2 linked regions of the Canis lupus familiaris genome follow. Each later gene encodes a partner of the first gene's protein in a complex. Links are inferred from orthologs where the notes say so. Each region holds a gene or a part of one and is shown in the gene's direction. Other genes may lie near its edges. The genes, in order: HCN2 and PEX5L.

Region 1 (8,569 bases):
CTGTGCCCTCCGCTGCTCTGCCCAGGCCTGTGGCAGTGGCTTGGCGCCTGAGGGCCGTGACCCCGACAGCTCATTTGGAGGGTGCATGTCCTGGGGGCAGGGCTGGCCCCTGGATTTACAGTAAGGGACACTGAGGGCGGGGCCTGTAGGACCCGTGTCACCCTGCTAGGGGCCTTGTCCGGGGACCACTCCTCACGGCCTGTCCTCTTCTTGCATGTGGCTGCGCATCCACACAGACGAGGACACGGGCTCTGCTCCTCTGTAAGTCGTGGCCTCGGGCGGGCGGGCGGGCTCCCCTGGGCAGGGCTAGCGGGGCTGCTGGCCCTCCAGTGGGCACGTGGTGGGGCTGGGGCCGCCGTCCTGCCCTCCTGAGCTTCGGGAGCCGTCCTTCCTCTCCCCAGGAAGAGCAGTGGGCACGTCAACGACAAAGGCAAGAACGTTCGCCAGCGGAACGCCAACTGAGGTGAGGCGTGGAGGGTGCAGGGGGTGGGGGCCCCGGGCCTCGGGCTGGGGTCTGAGCCTCCGTCTCGCCCTGCACAGGCCTCCCGCCTCCGCCTGGAGCAGCCGCGAGCAGCTCAGCGGCTGGTGTCTGCAGATTCCACGTTCTTTCCTCTCACAGGAGACCCGCCCCACGAAAGCAGACCACACACCGTGGGTCAGATCACACTTTTCTTTCCTTTTTTAAACTAAACTAGGGTTTTCTACATAGAATTCCATTCTTTAGGGGGTTTTTCCTTTTTAAACATTTTGTGAGCGTCTCAGGGGAGCCGTGAGCTTCCTGCGAGACTCCTGTCCTCCCCTCGTCTGCTCGGCCACCCCTGCCCGCTGTCCCCTCGCCGGCCCCCCACCGCCCTCCCGCCCGCCCCTCCGGGCCCAGCCACCCGTCCTTCGGCGTCCCTTGGGCATCTAGCCTCCTCTCCCCTCGTGGGGGTCGTGGAGGACGGACTGGCCCATCTCTGGGGCTCTACCTCCTGGGGCTGCTGGGCCTTGTTGGGACCCCTGTGCAGGGTCACAGGCCGTGCACGGTGCAGGTGCAAGCATCCTGCCTGCCCAAGTCCTGGCTGGCGGGTTGCCTCGGGTCTGTGTTGTGCGTGGGACGGCTCTGACCACGTGGCTGCTGGCGGGCCCCGCCCGCCCCTCCCCGTCCCTCCCCGTCCCTCCCCGCTCCTGCCATCCACCCGGTTGCAGGGGAGTTGCCTGGCCACCGGTGCTGCGGGTCTGCTGTTATGGCAGCTGCAGGACCCCCTCCCAGCTATTCCCCAGCTGCTCCCCAGCTCCCGACTCGCCCGCCACCTGCCTGCTCACCAATAAAGAAAGCCTGACCCGTCTCGTTCTCGGGCTCCTGTGCACACCGCCTGCGTCTTCTGGAGAGCTTGTGGGGGTGGGAGTGCCCCTGGTGCTGAGTCCTGGGGTGCAGTTGGGGTGCATGGGAGGGGCTGACCGGCTGGCCAGGAGCTTTGTTCCCAGGATGAAGGCTAAGGGTAGGGATGGGATGTGGGGGGCAGAGGACCATGGGGGCCATGGGCGTGTTCAGAGAAGGACTTGGCCCCGTGGCGGGTGTGAGCTAGGTTCCTACGTCCACGGGGCCCGGGACTCCTTCCGGTGGGTCCCCCCGGACAGGACCAGACCCAGACCCAGACCCACAGCTGCCTGGCACCTGCCTGCCCCAGGCCAGAGGTTCCCTGTGGTGTGAGTGGTGTCTGGGGAGCGGGGGGTGTCCAGGACCCCACTAGTGGGCCCAGCCTGGACGGGCAGTGCCACCCGTGGTGACAGAGGTGGCCCTTCTGAGACTGGCCCCCAGGACGAGGGGTCCCTGTTCGGCTGAGCCCAGCCTGACTCCTGGGGGAAAGGACAGTCTGGACACTGGGTGGTGCTGGGTGGTGCTCTGGGAACAGGAGGAGGCAGGGCCTTGCCACTGAGGCCCCCGCCTGGTGCCAGAGGGGAAGCTTCTCAGAGAAGGGGACCCCGCTGCCCACCTAGGGCCTGAGCTGACCCAGCGCCTCCCCTGTGGACCTGGGCACAGGCCTCTGGCCCGGCCAGAGCTGAGGTCCCAGAGCGGCCAGAAATCAGGGTTCGGGGGGAGATTGGTCCTTTTCAAGGCTGGCAAGTTAGATCCCGCACAACAGTGTGAAGAGGGGGTCGGCCCACGAGCCACGGGTGGGAGGCCCGGCCCCCGGGGGTGGCTTTCTCAGGCCCCGGGCCGCCTAGCGTGTCCGCCCGGCTGGCCACATGCTTGGGCCTCCAGGCAACGGCAGGTGGTTCCCCTGGGCTTCTGTGGCCGGAACAGGGTCCTTTATGGGGCCCCACACCTTGGCCTGGGGGGCTGTGGGCCTGGCCCTTCCCGCTGGCCGTCAGAGGGAGCTACGCGCCTGCCACTGAGCAGGGTTTGGAGGCCACGGGAGCCCCTCGTTTACAGAAGGCCTCTGGGGTTGCACCCGCCTGGCCCTGTAGACCCCGCTGCCCCCTGCTGGACAGGCCTGGGCCAGCCTCCCTAAGCCCTAGGGCGCCCTGGGGCACGAGCCGCGCACACCGGGGGGTGGAGGATGCGCCTTCCTCCTGGTCCCTCTGCGACGTTGACTGAGCAGCCCCGGCACAGCTGGGGTTGGGGTCCTTGGTGGACGGGCAGCGGTCGGGGGGCCCTGATGAGCTGGCCCATCCCTGGGGGTGCTGCCAGGGCTCAGGGGCAACCTCCAAGCTCCCCCGAAGTCGGGGGTTCCTGGGGGTGTCCTCTGGGAAGCCAGGGCCCCGGGGCCCAGTGCGGGGGGGCAGAGCCTTGGGTCCCAGAGGGGTTTCCTGGAGCAGGACCTGTGGGGGGTTGAGGCGAGGCGGCTGAGGCTCAGCCTCCTGACCCGTGGAGATGCCCCCACGAGGTCGCCCTCCGAGCCCTGAAGCCTCCATCCATCCGGCTCAGCCTCAGTTCCCCCACAGTGGGATGGAGACAGCACAGGATCGGGGGGCAGAGGAGCAGGGCACGAGCGATGTGCCCCGCGGCGTCCCTGGGCCCACAGACGGGGACACTTGTCCCAGACCCCTGCCCCTTGCAGTGGGGGCCCCCAAGGGCTCTCAGGTCAGCAGCAAAGGAGCGATTTGGGGGCCTCACCCGGCAGCAGAGAAGATGGGACAGAGGTGTTGGGGTCATCAGTTTGGCCCTCCCACTTGCTGGGGAGTGCGGTTTCTGTAGGGAAAGGAGAGTCCCGGTGAATCTGCGGTTGGCTGACCCGGGGACCCCAGCTGGGCCGTGTGACACTGGGAACCGGGTGGTGGGATGCCCCGCCTGCCGTCACTGGCCGCCCTGGGCAAGGTGCTGGCGCGGGTGGCTCCCAGACTGAAGCCAGGGGTCCTGCCGCCAGCTGATCACACAGCATGTCCCTGAGCCGCGGTGGGCTCTCCTGGTGGCCCCTGATGCTCAGAGGGTCCCCAAGCTCGGGGCCTCGGGCCTTTGCACCTGGACTTGCCCCGACTAGAGAGGACGCAGGGTTGGTCGGGAGGTGCCCTCAGAGCCCGTGCTGGGGCCCAGTAATGCTCAGCTGATGGGATCGGGGCTTCTTAGCAAAGGCAGCTTCAGGCCGCAGACTGTTGTGAACTCGGGGTCTCACAGCCGTGCACCCTCCGCTGTCTGAGCGTCCACCCACCCCGGGAGCCTCAACAGCCTTTGTTGTCCCACAAGCCAGTCACCCTCCTGCCTCAGGGCCTTTGCCACCTGCCAGACGCTCTTCCCACAAATGTCCACGTGACACCAGCCCTCCCTTCAGACATCACCTTCCCCCCGGGGAGGCCTCGGGACCTCAGCCCCAGCACCTTTGTCTTCCCTCTCTGGCTCTGAGTTGTGTAGCGCTTAACCACCTTCCAAGGGATTTGTCGTATCTATTAAATGTAAGGTTTACTATGGTGAGTGTCCTTCCGCCCACCTCGCAGCAGGGTGCCCGTGGCCCAGGTCCCAGCCCACTGGTGCTGAATAAATGTTTGTTGAACGAATGCAGGGCATTGCGCCCTGGCCGAGTGTGGAGAGGGGGTGGGAGAGACCGGGGGGCTGGTGGCTGTCCAGGATGGAGCCTGTGGGACGGGGAGGAGTCGTCAGGACTTGGGGGCCGGGTCCCCAGGGCCCAGGGAGGGGCTGAGACCCCCCCCAAGGTGACTCCCAGTCCAGGCCCGCCTCTCCCACTCCAGGCTCGGTGGGCCCGCCTCCTCCCCGCTCTGTGCGGGAGCCCTGGGGCGCTGGCGGCCTGCCCAGACTGACAGGCTCCCAGGGTGAGCATAAAAGATCCCCCTTCAGCTGGAACACACATCTGCCCGGGGCGGGCTGCAGCCTGGCACTGCCAACCCTGCTGCCCGCCCAGCTTCCCCTCGCCGCCTCAGGACGCGCAGCCCTGCCGCCCACCCATCCGGCTGCAGGTCTGGCCCGCGGGCGGGAGCGGCCCCTGGATGCCTGACCTGCTGGGTAGAAGCACAGGAGACCCAGGCCTCTGTCCACCCCTGTCACCCGTGGGCACCTGCTGTGTGCAGAGACACGCTGGCGGGTGGATGCACCCATGGGAGCAGGCATGAAGGTGGAACGTTCCTTCCCGGGTTCTCCAGGTCCCTTCTCGCTCCTGTGTCTCTGCCCGCTACTTGCCTCTTGGGACACCTCCTCCTCCCCTCTGGCTGTGCTGGGATGGGGGCCGGCGGCTAGGGACGGTCCCGGGCCTGTGCCCTCGTGTCCCCTAGCACCAGACAGCCCCCCAACCTGATTCCAGCCCGGGACACGGAGCCTCAGGCATCCTCCCAGAGCGCGGGGCCGAGTGGCCAGCAGGGCCTGAGCCCCGGGGCCAGGGCAGTGGGGCCCTCGGGTGCGAGTCCGCGGCCGCCCCGGGCCCCTGGGCACGTCCCCGTTTGAAAGCCCACCAGCGCCCGGGAGATGAGCCGCCGCGGACCCTCAGGGCGCTGTTTGGGGGCCGCATCAGCGCCGCCGGGGGGCGCCCCCCGTGGCCCCGGTTCCTCCCTTGCGGGCGGGGGCGGGGGCGGGGCGGGGGCGGGGGCGGGGGTGGCGGTGCGACCCCCGCGCTCGCACGTCCCCGCGTCCGCGCCCGCCCGGGCCTTCGCGCCGCAGAGCACCGGCCCTTCTGACCTTTAAAACCCTCCTTTTATTACGGAAACTCTCGAGCCCACGGAGGCGGGAGGCCGGCGCGGCCCCGGGGACGGCCCCAGCGCGGGGAGGCCGTGGCTGAGGCGCGGCCGAGCCCGGTGACCTTGGGCGCGTCCTTCCTCCCGCGGGCCTCAGTTTCCCTTCTGCGACGAGGTCTGAGCGCGTCGCCCGGGCCTCCGGCCGCGCGACCTTGGGCCGTCCCCGCCTCCTCCGCGGCCCTCAGTTTCCTCCTCCCCGGCGCGGGGCCCGGGCGCGGCGCGCGGGGAGGGGGTTCCGGCCGGAGGGGGCCGCCCCCGCCCCTCCCCGCCCCGCCCCTCCCCCGCGCCCGCCCCCCGCGGGCTTCGCGCCCCTGCCCACGGCCCCGCATCCCCCCCTCGGGCTCGGGCCGGCGGGCGCGGCGGCGCTCCTCTCCTCACTTCCTGACCTCCCTCCGACTCGCCTGGCGCGCGGGGGGTCCGAATCTGCTCCCCCCCGGGCAGTCAGGGCGCTCCCCCGCGCCCCCCCGCCCCTCCTGCCCCCGCCTCCAACCCCCCCCCCGAAACTTTCCGGCCCGCCCCCCACCCCGCCGCCGGCGCCCCGGGCCGAGGCGGCTCCGCCGGAGGCGACGGACGAGGGCGGCCCGCGGGCCCGGCTCCGCAGCCGCGACAGCTCGAGCGGGCGGCCGGCCACCCCGGGCGCGGCGAGCACGGCCAAGGGCAGCCCGAACGGCGAGTGCGGGGCGAGGCGAGACGCAGTGCAGCCCGCGGGGCCGGAGGGCCCGGCGCGCGGCGCCAAGGTGTCGTTCTCCTGCCGCGGGGCCGCGGGGCCGGGGCCGGGGCCGGGGCCGGGGCCGGGGCCGGCGGACGAGGCGGGCAGCGAGGAGGCGGGCCCGGCGGGGGAGCCGCGCGGCAGCCAGGCCAGCTTCATGCAGCGCCAGTTCGGCGCGCTCCTGCAGCCGGGCGTCAACAAGTTCTCGCTGCGGATGTTCGGCAGCCAGAAGGCCGTGGAGCGCGAGCAGGAGCGCGTCAAGTCGGCGGGGGCCTGGATCATCCACCCGTACAGCGACTTCAGGTACCGCGCGGCCGCGGCGCCGGGGCTCGGGGACGGACGCGCGGCGGGAGGGCGGGGCCGCGCGCCCCGGGGGTGACCTCGGGCCCCTCGCCGACCCCCGGCGCGCCCGGGACCCGCCCCGCGAGGCCCCGCCCTCGGAGGGGCGCGGGAAGCGCGCAGGCCCGGCCGAGCCCCCGGCGCGCCCCCTCCCACGCACCGCCCTCCCGCGCCCGCGGGCCGGGGTCTGAGCGCGGCCGGGCCGGGAGGACGAATAGAGGGGAACGTGGGCGCCGGGAGGCGGCGGCGCGGAAGGAAGGCGGAAGGAAGGGCGCTCGGGAAGGACGCGTCCCGGAGAGGCCGGCGGCGCGGGGTGAAGGGCGCGGGGCCCTCGTCCAGCGGCTCCGCCCGCGCCGCGCGCCCCAGGGAGGCGCCTGCAGGGTCCCGGCCGGGGCCGCGGGGCGGCGTGTCCGCGTGTCAGTGGGTGTGTAGACGTCGGTGTGGATCAAGGCGGCGGATGCGTGGAAAGGCTCAGAGCCGGCCCGGCCCAGGGTCAGGCCGAGGATGTCCGTGGTTCGTGCTCCCTGGCGCGTGCCCCGTGGCCTGCGGGTGCGAAGCGTGCGTGTCACTGCGGGCCGTGTGTGTGATCACGAGCATGTGACTGCAGGGGGCGTGGGCCCGGGGCCATGGGCAGAGTGACCCGGGGGCCCTAGGGGTGTGTCCGCGTGGTAGGTGTGCCCGGAGAGGGGCTGCGTGCGGGCGGCCGGGCGAGCTGAGCTGTGTGCAGGGGGTGTGCAGGGGGTGTGCACGGTGTGTGCAGGGGGTGTGCACGGTGTGCGCCGCCTGGGAAGTTTGGAGCCGTGAGGGACGCGGCCGGTCGGGCGCGGAGGGTCCAGCCGGGCGCGCGCGGCTTCAGCACCACGGACAGCGGCCCGCCGAGCCCCGCCGAGCCGGCGTCCGCAGGGGGGACGGGGCTCCCCTGTCCTGGCCCCGCTTCATAGCTCAGGAAACAGGCGCCAAGGGGCGCACAGGCCCGGGACAGAGGTGGACGCCGGCTCCTCACCCTGCAGACCTGCCCCGGGAGGCGGAGGAAGCCTGCCCAGCGGCCTGAGTTCCCCGGGGAGGAAGGGGGTCCACACGGCGGGGCTGCGGGCGGGAGAGCTCGGTGTCTGCACTCGTGATCCCGTGATCTGGCCGGCGGGCCGGGGAGCGACATCGGGCACACAGCGGGCAGGGGGAGGGGGCCGCAGAAAGTAGCCATTGCTCCGGGACTTCTCCAGCACGTCTGCCTGCAGCAGCTGCCCCTCCCCCGCCAGCAGTGGGTGGCCTCGGCGTCCTGGGGCCACAGGAGGGGCAGTTTGCAGCCTGGTGACCGGGGGCGGCGAGGGCGGGCGGGAGGAGTGGGGCTTGCTGGTCCTCGTGCCCTTCTGAGCGTGGTCACCTGTGAGGCTCCGGGCAGTCCACATGGTGCGGGCTGAGCAGATAAACCCTAAGACGTGGTGAGCGTGTCCTGTGGTCGGGACGAGGGGACACGCCGTCGGACCGAACGCTTATGATACCCCCACACTGGGATGCGGCGGGGCCTCCGGACCCCGTGTTCTGGGATCGTCGGCCCCTCCAATCCCAAACCGCAAGCCTCCTGAGGTCCTCCTGGGTCAGGTGCTGCGGGGACACCTTACTCATACGGATTCAGGTCCCGTGTGGGCCGCGAGGTGGATGCGGCCGCTGGTCACAGGAAGGGAGCACGGACGTACAGCTGCTTGCCCAAAGTCACACAACTCGTCAGGGGCAAACGGGGGGTTGATGCCTGGGCTGACGGCCCCCCGGTCCTGGCTGTGGCCCCAGCTCTGGCCCATCCAGGCCAGGAGGACCCGGGAGGAGAAAGGTCTTCTGGGGGTTGTAGAGATCGGGGGCACCTGGGCCTGGGCTGCGGGCCTGAGCGTTTGAAAGCAGTTGGCAGAGCGCCGGGCAGGGGCCCCTCTGGGCCCCGTTTCCACACTTGCCTCTTTCACATCTGACCCGGTTGCACGGATGCCATCCTCTCTGGCGCCTGCACCCTCGCACTGTGCAGGATTTGAAAGCAAAAGAGATTTTGGAGGGCGGCCCCAGGCTCCCTGCCCAAGGCCATGGGGTCGCCACTTCCTCGAGCTCTGACTTTGCTGCGTGTCTGGGAAGCCGTCCCCACGCCGCCCGGCCTGGCACACACCTGGCATCGAGAGCAGGGCAGTTCGTGTCTGGTGACCTGGAGCCACCCTGGCTGTGCCTCATGTGCCCCGGGCCGCGGCTGCCCTGACTAGACTCACGGGAGTGGGTGGAGGGAGGTGTTGGGGCGCAGAGCAAGCCCCGGGGAAAGGCCCAATGTGCAGGGTGTTGGGGGTAGTCACCAGCCCCCCTGCCCTGTGCTGCCGGTGGCTGGGCCTC
Region 2 (8,729 bases), on another chromosome or scaffold:
GAAAAGGACTTTCAATATTTGGTATGTATCCTCACAGATTTTTCTTCTATAAATGTATATCATATCATTGTAAATTTCCAAAGAGAAGCATGCAGTTTTTCCCCAAAAGGCCTTTGTTCTCACTTTCTTGCCTCATGATTTCTAGCCCCTCATTTTCTGGCATCTACAGTTTTACTTTCTTCACTAGTCGCCTCTTGAACTATAAGTGTACTCAGTACCTTTATACAAGGGAGAGGGAAACTACAATTTTCCCAGTATTTCCCTCCTCTCATTTGTGTCATTCCATTCCCTCTTCCCTCCCACTATTTTTTTAAACTGTGGGAGAATCTTTAGCACACGATTTACTGTCTTGATATGTTTTTCCCTTTTTGTCTTTTCATTCAAGCTTGTGTAAGCAAAAATAAGTCCTTTCTCATCTCTTTGCTCCCTTACTACCAGTGTCGCCACTAAGTCATTCTGATTTTGGTTCCAGGAAGTCAGGTCCTTGATGGCTGCCAGGATGCCCAACACAAGGGAAGTGTGCAGGGTACACCCTTACTTGAACTTTCATCAGCATTTGACAATGTCTAGAGTTCTTTTGCCTTTGACTGCATCCTTCTGGTTCTCCTCTTACATGTCCAACCATTCCTATTTGGCCTCCTTCACTGGGTTCTTTTCTTTGGCCCATTCTTTAAACATAATTTTTCTCCAGGACTCTGGCCTTAGTCCTTATCTCTTCTGTTTTCTTTTTTAATGAGCTCATCCACTCTTGTGATTTTAGTTATCCCCAGAAATCCATACGACCTGCCCTTATCTCTCTTCTGAGCTATAGACCCATATACCCGAATGACCGACTGAATCTTTCCAATGATATCACAAACTCAGCACATACCTTTTCAGCACATCATCTCTTTTCCCAATCCTCCTCCCTCTCACTGAGCCCCTATTCAGTTTGTCGCAACACCATTTAATAGCTGTAATAGTGTAAATAACAGCTGAGACATTTTTTTAAATAATGCAAACTTGACCACTGAAAGAAGTAATATTTGCATTCATCTTGACATCTGTAGTCAATCACAAATTGCTCTGAGGGCTAATTCATACTATTACCTCTAAAGACAGATGGCTAGAGAATCTGGTAATTCAAAGTCCATTGGTGACTGTGAATACAATTACGGTAAATTGCAACCTGGTTGTAATTGTCTTAAAAGTGAAGAGAAAGGAAGGAGCTGTTGCTAGTGAATGTGGACCACTCTTTCAAGTTTGACAGTGAAGAGATAAGAGATTAAATGAATGCCTTTAGGGAAAAGGAGATGTGAGGAAGTAATCTTTTAGAAGAATGGAAACTGAGCAATTGGCAGGCTGTGGGAAGAAGGTGGAGAAGAAGGGATGGAAGACAGGGAAGATAGGAAGATAGGAATTGAACACTGACAACCACAAAAAAGAGAGTAGGGAGATCTTTGTTTCTTTTGTCTCTGTTATATATTTTTCATGTAACATTTGCTTTCCTAAATTCAGGTGTACTATTTATCATTAAATAAATAATAGTAAAAAAATATTTTAAAAATATTTGTATTGAATTTTTAAAGTTTTTATTTAAATTCCAGTTAATTAACATACAGTGTAATAATGTTAGTTTCAGGTGTACAATTTAGTGATTCAGCACGTCTGTACAACACCTGGTACTTATCACAGGTGCGCTCCTTAATCCTCATCATCTATTTAACCCATCCCCCTGCTATCCTTCCCCTCTGGTAACTGTCAGTTTGTTTTCTCTAGTTTTGTTTGCCTCTCTCTCTCTTTTTTCCCCCCATGCTCATTTGTTTTGTTTCTTAAATCCCACATATGAGTGAAATAATACGGTATTTGTCTTTCTCTGACTTACTTTGCTTAGCAAATTTCTGTCTAGCTCCATCCACATGGTTGCAAATGGCAAGATTTCCTTCGTTTTATGGATGGATAATATTCCACTACATATATATATATGTCCATATGTGTATATCTATATGTCTATATGTGTATATATATATACATACATAAATGTATATACATATATCACATCTGTTATCCATTCATCAGTTGATAGAAATTTGGTTTCTTTCCATAATTTAGCTATTCTTGATAATGCTACTATAAACATCAGGGTGCATGTATCCCTTTGAATCAGTATTTTTAGATCTTTTGGGTAAATACCCAGTAGTGTTATTGCTGGATCATAGGGTAGCTCTAATTTTAACTTTTTGAGGAACTCCATACTGTTTTCCACAGTGGTTATGCCAGTTTGAATTTTTATATGTAATCTTTAACCTTTATATTTATTTGCATTATTATTCTGTTGTCAGGCAAAAATTGCAGTTGAAACTAATTCATGCAATTAACTAAATAATGTGTTTCTTAACCTTTTTAAAATCTCCTTCATCTATTCCACTCCTAAATATGAAGAATCCTTTTAATTTGACCCATATACAACTAGTGTCTTTCAGTTAAAACTCTTTTTAAGCTCCTATTCTAAAATGAACATAGGGAGCTTCATTTTTCAGGTCCCTATCCCATCAGATTTTGTTGTTCTGTCTTGTTTTGTTGTTACTTATTTGCAAAATTTTCTTACATAGTGCATTCTCAATCTGTGGTCATGTATTGTTTTTCCTATACAGCTTCTAAGTTTTATGGTTTACTTAATTCAAGTGAGTAAGCCCATCTCTCTGTTCTATTTTTGTGGAGGAGAGAATGAAGGGGTGGGAGGCAGGAAGGAAATAAGGTTAAGGAGAGATGGTGGAATGTCTGCAGAGAGGAAAGGTTACCACTTAGACTCAATATTCTAAAGAAAACTATAGATCTGAATCAATGGTATTTTAAAAGCACTAAGAAATAACTAAATAGTTTTCTTTGCAGTTACTCAGAAAGGATTCAGAATGGTGTGGGGAAGATGGGAGATGCTGCATTTGGGGGTTGACATTGGACACTTCTGAGCTGAAAGCTTCTTGTAAAGAGTGAGGCATTTTTGGCGAAATGACTGTTTTCTTTCTTTCTTTCCTCACATCTCCCACCTTCAAGTCCTCACCATTTTAACTCCGCTACACTGATGCTCTCTTCTCAGCTGCACATAGGTGAGCAGTGCCCAGAATCGACCCGCAGCAGACAGCTTGCTAAGGCTGAGGTGGAGAGGGCCCGACCTTACTGCCTCAGTTGAAATCCTCAGCTCCAGTGTGTGCCAGGGGAGGTGGGAGGGGCACAGGAAGTGACTACCCTCTGGCTTCTCCTCCCACAGAAGCCCTGCCTCCTTAACGCTTGGACAGTGAAGAGGTTAGCTTTCTTTCTCCTTCTGGTTCAGTCCTTTGCCTAAAGTGAAAGACCACGCAGAAGCTATGGAGTTGCTTTTTGTGCTTGACAAAAGTGCATAGATAGAAGACAGGGATTCCTGGCTGGGAGGAGGGAGGAGAGCTGAAGATCCCTGCCTGGGCTGGCTGATCTAAGCAGTCAAAGTGGGAAGCTGAGTGCTTGAAAGAGGATTATGCTCGCACTAGAAATAAGCAGTAAGTGAGCGAATAACCATTATGGTTTAGAAAAGGATTAATCCCCCTGGGGCTATGGGGTGAGCTAGAAAATATCGCTTAATTCTAGAGTAAAATTGTAAGGCTTCTGACTCTGTGTACAGTTGGGTGCTGCTTGGAGACTGGGGCTTAAATACAAAATCAGAGCTCTAAATGCCTCCTCCCACTCTTGGAAAATGCCAACTTCTACTTAGAGTTGTGGATATAATCTTCTTCCCTGACCTAGCCTCTTCCCATTAAAATATACTCCTAACTCAGATAAGGAGTTGGGATTAAATTGGAGAGGTGGGATTTGGTGGTGGTCGAATTGCAGTCTTGAATTATGTTTGGTGAATGCCGACATTGTTATATCATTTAGCAGTGATTTGCTCATCACAAGAAATTCTGGGGTGAGGCATTAAAAGGGAAAAATTGAGAGCTTTTATGATAAAGAGGCTGAATAGTCTATATGCGTAGGATGAAATATAAAAATGTATATAATTAATAATAGATGGAGTGTTTTAAAAAGCATTAACTAGAACAGTAGTTGGGGAACCTAGAAGTGCTAGGATAAAAATTAGTTAGAAAGGAAGAAATTTTAGTTTCAATGATTTTTTTGTGCTAGCCAAAAATTTCACAATGTTTACAAAGTCGAGACTATGATTCAGGGATACTTTGATTATTGTCATACATTATAAATACTCTTGCTGGGCAAGATCTGTGGTTCTTTGGTCAGCAAGTTCTGGCAATGAAACCACTGCCACTGGTGCAAAGAATTCTGGGATGTCTGACAGTGAAATGGATGGAAGGACCCACATTCCATCTCTACTTAATGTCCTTTTGTCCAGAAATCGGGTCATGCAAATGAGCTACTTGGTACGTATACAGATCAATATTCGGAAAGACATTTTTAAATGTTTTGTGTTAGGGGGTCTCTGGACAATATCTCATGGCAACCAGTAGACTAAGAGGATACAAAAACAAAGTAATAGGGAGGAAGTCAGCTTGATTGAAACCAACCCCATTCTTTTTGTTTTCCATCAATCGCGAAATGGAACCTCAAATGAGGAGAAGAAGAATAATGGATAGAAATACTGTGGCCATCTGTTCTATTCTAAGTGGCTAAATTCATTAATATATGAATGAGAATTCAGATTTTATTTGTGCATCCTAATACTTGAAGATTCAGAAATCTCTTTATTACAGGAAAAAAACCCCACAAAAATAGGAGGTATATTTCTTAGGAAGGAAGGGAAAGAAAACATAAGAATTGTGTCCCATAGGTTAAAGAAGATTTACATCATCTTTGCTGAAGGATATAGTTCTACCCTTAATGAGATGGGGATCCTAATATGGCACAATAGATGCAAATAAATATTTTTAGTTCCCTTAATTCTGATTGATGGAATTAAAGCAAGCATTGTTTCTTGTTTTTTCTTTTTAAAATAATAATCTTGGATCATAGCTAACTATGTAGTGAATTTTATTTTCCCTTTCTTACTGGTCCTCTACAGAGGTACTATGATTTCTGAAATCATGAAGAAGGAATCTATCATTTCTGGTATTGCTATCAGCCAGTGTATTGGGAGAAAGAAAAAAAAAAGACTCAGACGTATTATCTTTCTCCTATAGCACAACACTGAAATGGTTAAAATGATCTATGACCTTTTCTAACTTTACAACTTTTGCTGTGGGGAAGGTAGATGGAGATTGGTCATGGGGGAAAAAGACAAAATGCCAATAAAGTGCATTTTTAAAAAATGGTCTGTATTCTTTCAACTTTTCAAACTACCCAAGTTTGAAAATTATTTTACTCATCTTTTAAAAATTATTTGAGTTGGTTTTTCCAGTGTTAGTTTTCATCAGATTTATAAGCAAATGCTGAAAATCTGAAGACTCGTTATCTGAGTTGTATAATGCTTGTCTTATTCTTTAAGATATAAAAGATATTAAAATAAACATTTAATAGTTGATATCTTAAAGCAGACCATAATTACTAAATGCAATTTCAGTCCTTAAGAAAAATGGGCTCGGACTCTTAAGGGAATTGTATATCTATCTCAAAATTTTAAAGAATGTGTTTTGAAATTACAAAATTGAAAAAGGCATAGCAATATTCAGAAAAGGATTAAAGGTATAATTTGAATGAGAGAGGCTAAGGAGAAATACTTGATGAGTTAATTATAAGCCTGCAGTTTAACAACAAAACATTTGCTGTTGTCCATGAGAGACTGACGTAAAGAATGATGTATTATGACTAGTGAACAAGGCTAAAACTTTTATCTTTAAAAATTATTAAGTGGGAGTTAACCTTATTAATGGAAAGAAACTAAATGATCATTTAAAATTATTCTTTCACAAGAAAAGTAAAGAAAAAGGATATGGAAAACTAAGCAGTGATGAAGACCTCGAAATAATTGTTGATCAAAAGCAGGTAAGTGAATGCTTACATACATTTTCTACTGTTGTACTGTAGATCTTTGACAACTGAAGCCCTTTGACTGTTCAGCCTGCCTTGGTGGCTGTATTAGCCTGTCAGGCAGAGGTCTGCATAACAAGATAGATTTTGAGAGCTGCTAAGCCTCTCTATATGATCCCTCTGATCCACCGACTTCTGCATGATGTCAACATGCATGTTCTGTGTGTAGGAACAATGAAAATAAAGCAGAACAAGATAAGAGAACTTTTGGGAAATCACATGCCCTGGTAAAAACTGAATCAATACAACAATGATAATTTGGTTGGGGAAAAAAATGTAAACAAGAATCAGTATGTTATTTGGAAAGTGAGAAAGCTAACATTAGTGTAAAACAATGAGTATACTTTAAGGGGAAGGGAGTAAAAGACTAAAAAAACTGAGAAACTGAAAACATATATGCCCAATTTACTTTATCAGAATATCTGCAGTAAATGTAGACATTATTTTAAAAATATAAAAAGAAGAAGCTACTTAATGTTCTTCAATACTGCCTGTAATTTGAGAAGCATCTAGCTTGGATTTTATATGGGCCCATAAGGTGAAATGAAAACTGCTTAATAGACCATAAACAATGATATCAGGTAATGGAAAGTATCCAGCTAATGCCACTGAATTGGCATTGGCCCTTAACGTCTTTGTTAATTATCAAGGAGACAGGATAACTGCACATCTATTTAATGTGTAAGTGGCACTGATTCTGAAGATGATGTAAGCTCAGATGGAGACTGAGAAATAATTCAAAGGAGTCTGCGTAGATAAAGAGGTTAGAAAGAAAACAGTCAGCAAGTTACAGAAAGACAAGTTGAATTTAGACAATGTCCTAATCGTGCAGTTTGTTTTGCATCATGACAATTGCATTAAAGGAGCCATTGTGTATATTTCTGAAAAAACAAAAAATGACCATCAGAAGAGAGCAATCAGAAGTAGCTGAGTTGGAGACTTGCTTCCTAAGTCTGAATAACTGAGGTAACTGAAGTAGTCTTCTGGGGGGGGGGGGGAAACTCATCAAACAAAGCATCACCCCAGAGGTGCAGAATGGGATGATCTTATAGTATTCTCTCAAACTGCCTTTGAATTCTTTTTTTCTTGCCTTATCTTCACTCTCCTGCTCCTGAGTAAATTGGTAAGTGAGGAATTTGGACCTGTATGCCAGATTAATTACTTGGGGCACATGATCTCCATCTCTCACAGAGCCTATACCTAGATCTACTGGCATTCTCAGTGAAGGACAGGACCCATCCGGTGAATGAACCTGTAAAATACAATTGAGTATATTATGGGAATACACATACCTATCCATTTATCTATTAAAATGAAAAGTAAAGATTTTTAAAATTTCTTCCTTAATCATGTAGACGTTAAATGTTTACTCTTTGTAGTACTTTCTTAGTATCATCCTACCCACAAGGGCTGCTTTTTTCCCCCTAAAGCTTTTTGTTTGTTTGTTTGTTTGTTTGTTTTAACTAACTTTGGGGATTCAGAAAACCATAAAAGTATACATTGAGCTCTTTGGAATGAAAAGCCCAAAGGAGTCATTGTTTTGTTTTTTTTTTCTTTCTCATGGTAGCTTTCACAGCATTTATGTTGTTGTCTTTAAATGCATTTTATTAACTGTTAAGAGAACCAACTTTCCTTCTGTTTCAGAAAATAATGCTTTTCTTACCTGGCTCAAAGGAGGGAGGATTTGACTTGCCCAGTCATCGTTTGCCTCTATAGTTAATTACGTTTCCCCAGTGCCACTGTACCAGTTGGCACCAGTTGGCAGTGACCCAGCTTTGCTGAGTCATTCATGTCAAAACACGTTTTAAAAGACAAGTCATTATGAATATGAGTTGGCTTTCATGTTTGCTGTTGGCAGTAAGACTAGTCCTTCCTTTGGGGGAAGGTTTACTTGGTGGTGATGTGAGCAAATCCTGGGTTGAAACAATGACAATGCTGATACCTCGAAGTAAGATGTTTAGAAAAACACACTAATTAGTCCTGATGATACTACAAAAAATTCTTTCTACACTTAAGAGATCATCATTCAAAGTGTATATGTTTTTGTTTAATATGGCTTCCTTTCATAGATATTACGTATTTGGGGAGGAATCTTTATGTTCAGTTTATTCTTTCTATATCTTTTTAGAAACATGGTAGATATGTTAGTCAATCTTCATATAATTGTAAATAGCTTTTTCAGTAAGTGCTGCCGAAAGAAAATCTAGAGAAGATAAATAAAATAGTTGGAGTGCTGTGCTGGTCAGAAGTCTACTAATCTCATTAAATCTGTCATTCAGAAGCTGTCACTCTACAAATGCTGTGCAAGCTATATGCCGTTTTATCAAGTCGTGTGATTTGTGAGACTTGTACTTCCACAGAAAATTCACAATTTTGCCTAGATAAGCAAATTAATAACAGAAGCTGCACAGAGTATGTGTATTTTGTTCTCCTTGGCCAGCTCCATTCAAGGGGGTAAAAAGTGATTTCTATGTTATTTCTACATGAGAAAAAGTGATTTTGGAAGTGTATAAGGTTTTATTCTTAAAAGGCAACATGCGTTTCTATGCCAAATGTTATTGGCAAAATTTACTTGAAATTCATATGAAAATGTTCTAGAAAATTCATAGATTAATGCTAATGTCTTAAAGTAACAGGTGCCATGTATAATCACACATATACACACATATATATAGTCAGTTAAATATAGATGTATAACATTGACTTTTGAGTCCATATTTTCAACCAGAAATCCCTAGAGT

What was found.
Region 2: the proteins of HCN2 (region 1) and PEX5L are in contact, whole or in part, in a crystal structure (PDB 4EQF), measured with the Mus musculus proteins. The link is inferred for Canis lupus familiaris from reciprocal best matches to the Homo sapiens genes HCN2 and PEX5L. Residues at the interface, in NP_032252.1 of Mus musculus: Leu859, Ser860, Ser861, Asn862, Leu863; in NP_001156988.1 of Mus musculus: Glu315, Glu317, Val343, Asn347, His426, Asn453, Arg454, Ala457, Thr458, Ala460, Asn461, Tyr472, Arg484, Tyr487, Asn488, Ile491, Ile494, Ile537.

Annotation. Positions count from the first base shown.
Region 1 is NC_049241.1:58,415,693-58,424,261, reverse strand, and holds the start of HCN2 (potassium/sodium hyperpolarization-activated cyclic nucleotide-gated channel 2), read left to right. Parts: upstream 1-2,978; coding exon 2,979-3,067; intron 3,068-4,704; coding exon 4,705-4,826; intron 4,827-5,601; coding exon 5,602-6,172; intron 6,173-8,569. Other genes in the region: BSG (basigin), read left to right, coding at 237-261, 402-462. UniProt on the Homo sapiens protein: Hyperpolarization-activated ion channel that is permeable to sodium and potassium ions. Displays lower selectivity for K(+) over Na(+) ions. Contributes to the native pacemaker currents in heart (If) and in neurons (Ih).
Region 2 is NC_049255.1:13,528,243-13,536,971, reverse strand, and holds the start of PEX5L (PEX5-related protein), read left to right. Parts: upstream 1-3,288; 5' UTR 3,289-3,490; coding exon 3,491-3,512; intron 3,513-4,225; exon of another isoform or gene 4,226-4,245; coding exon 4,246-4,385; intron 4,386-5,871; coding exon 5,872-5,943; intron 5,944-8,729. UniProt on the Homo sapiens protein: Accessory subunit of hyperpolarization-activated cyclic nucleotide-gated (HCN) channels, regulating their cell-surface expression and cyclic nucleotide dependence.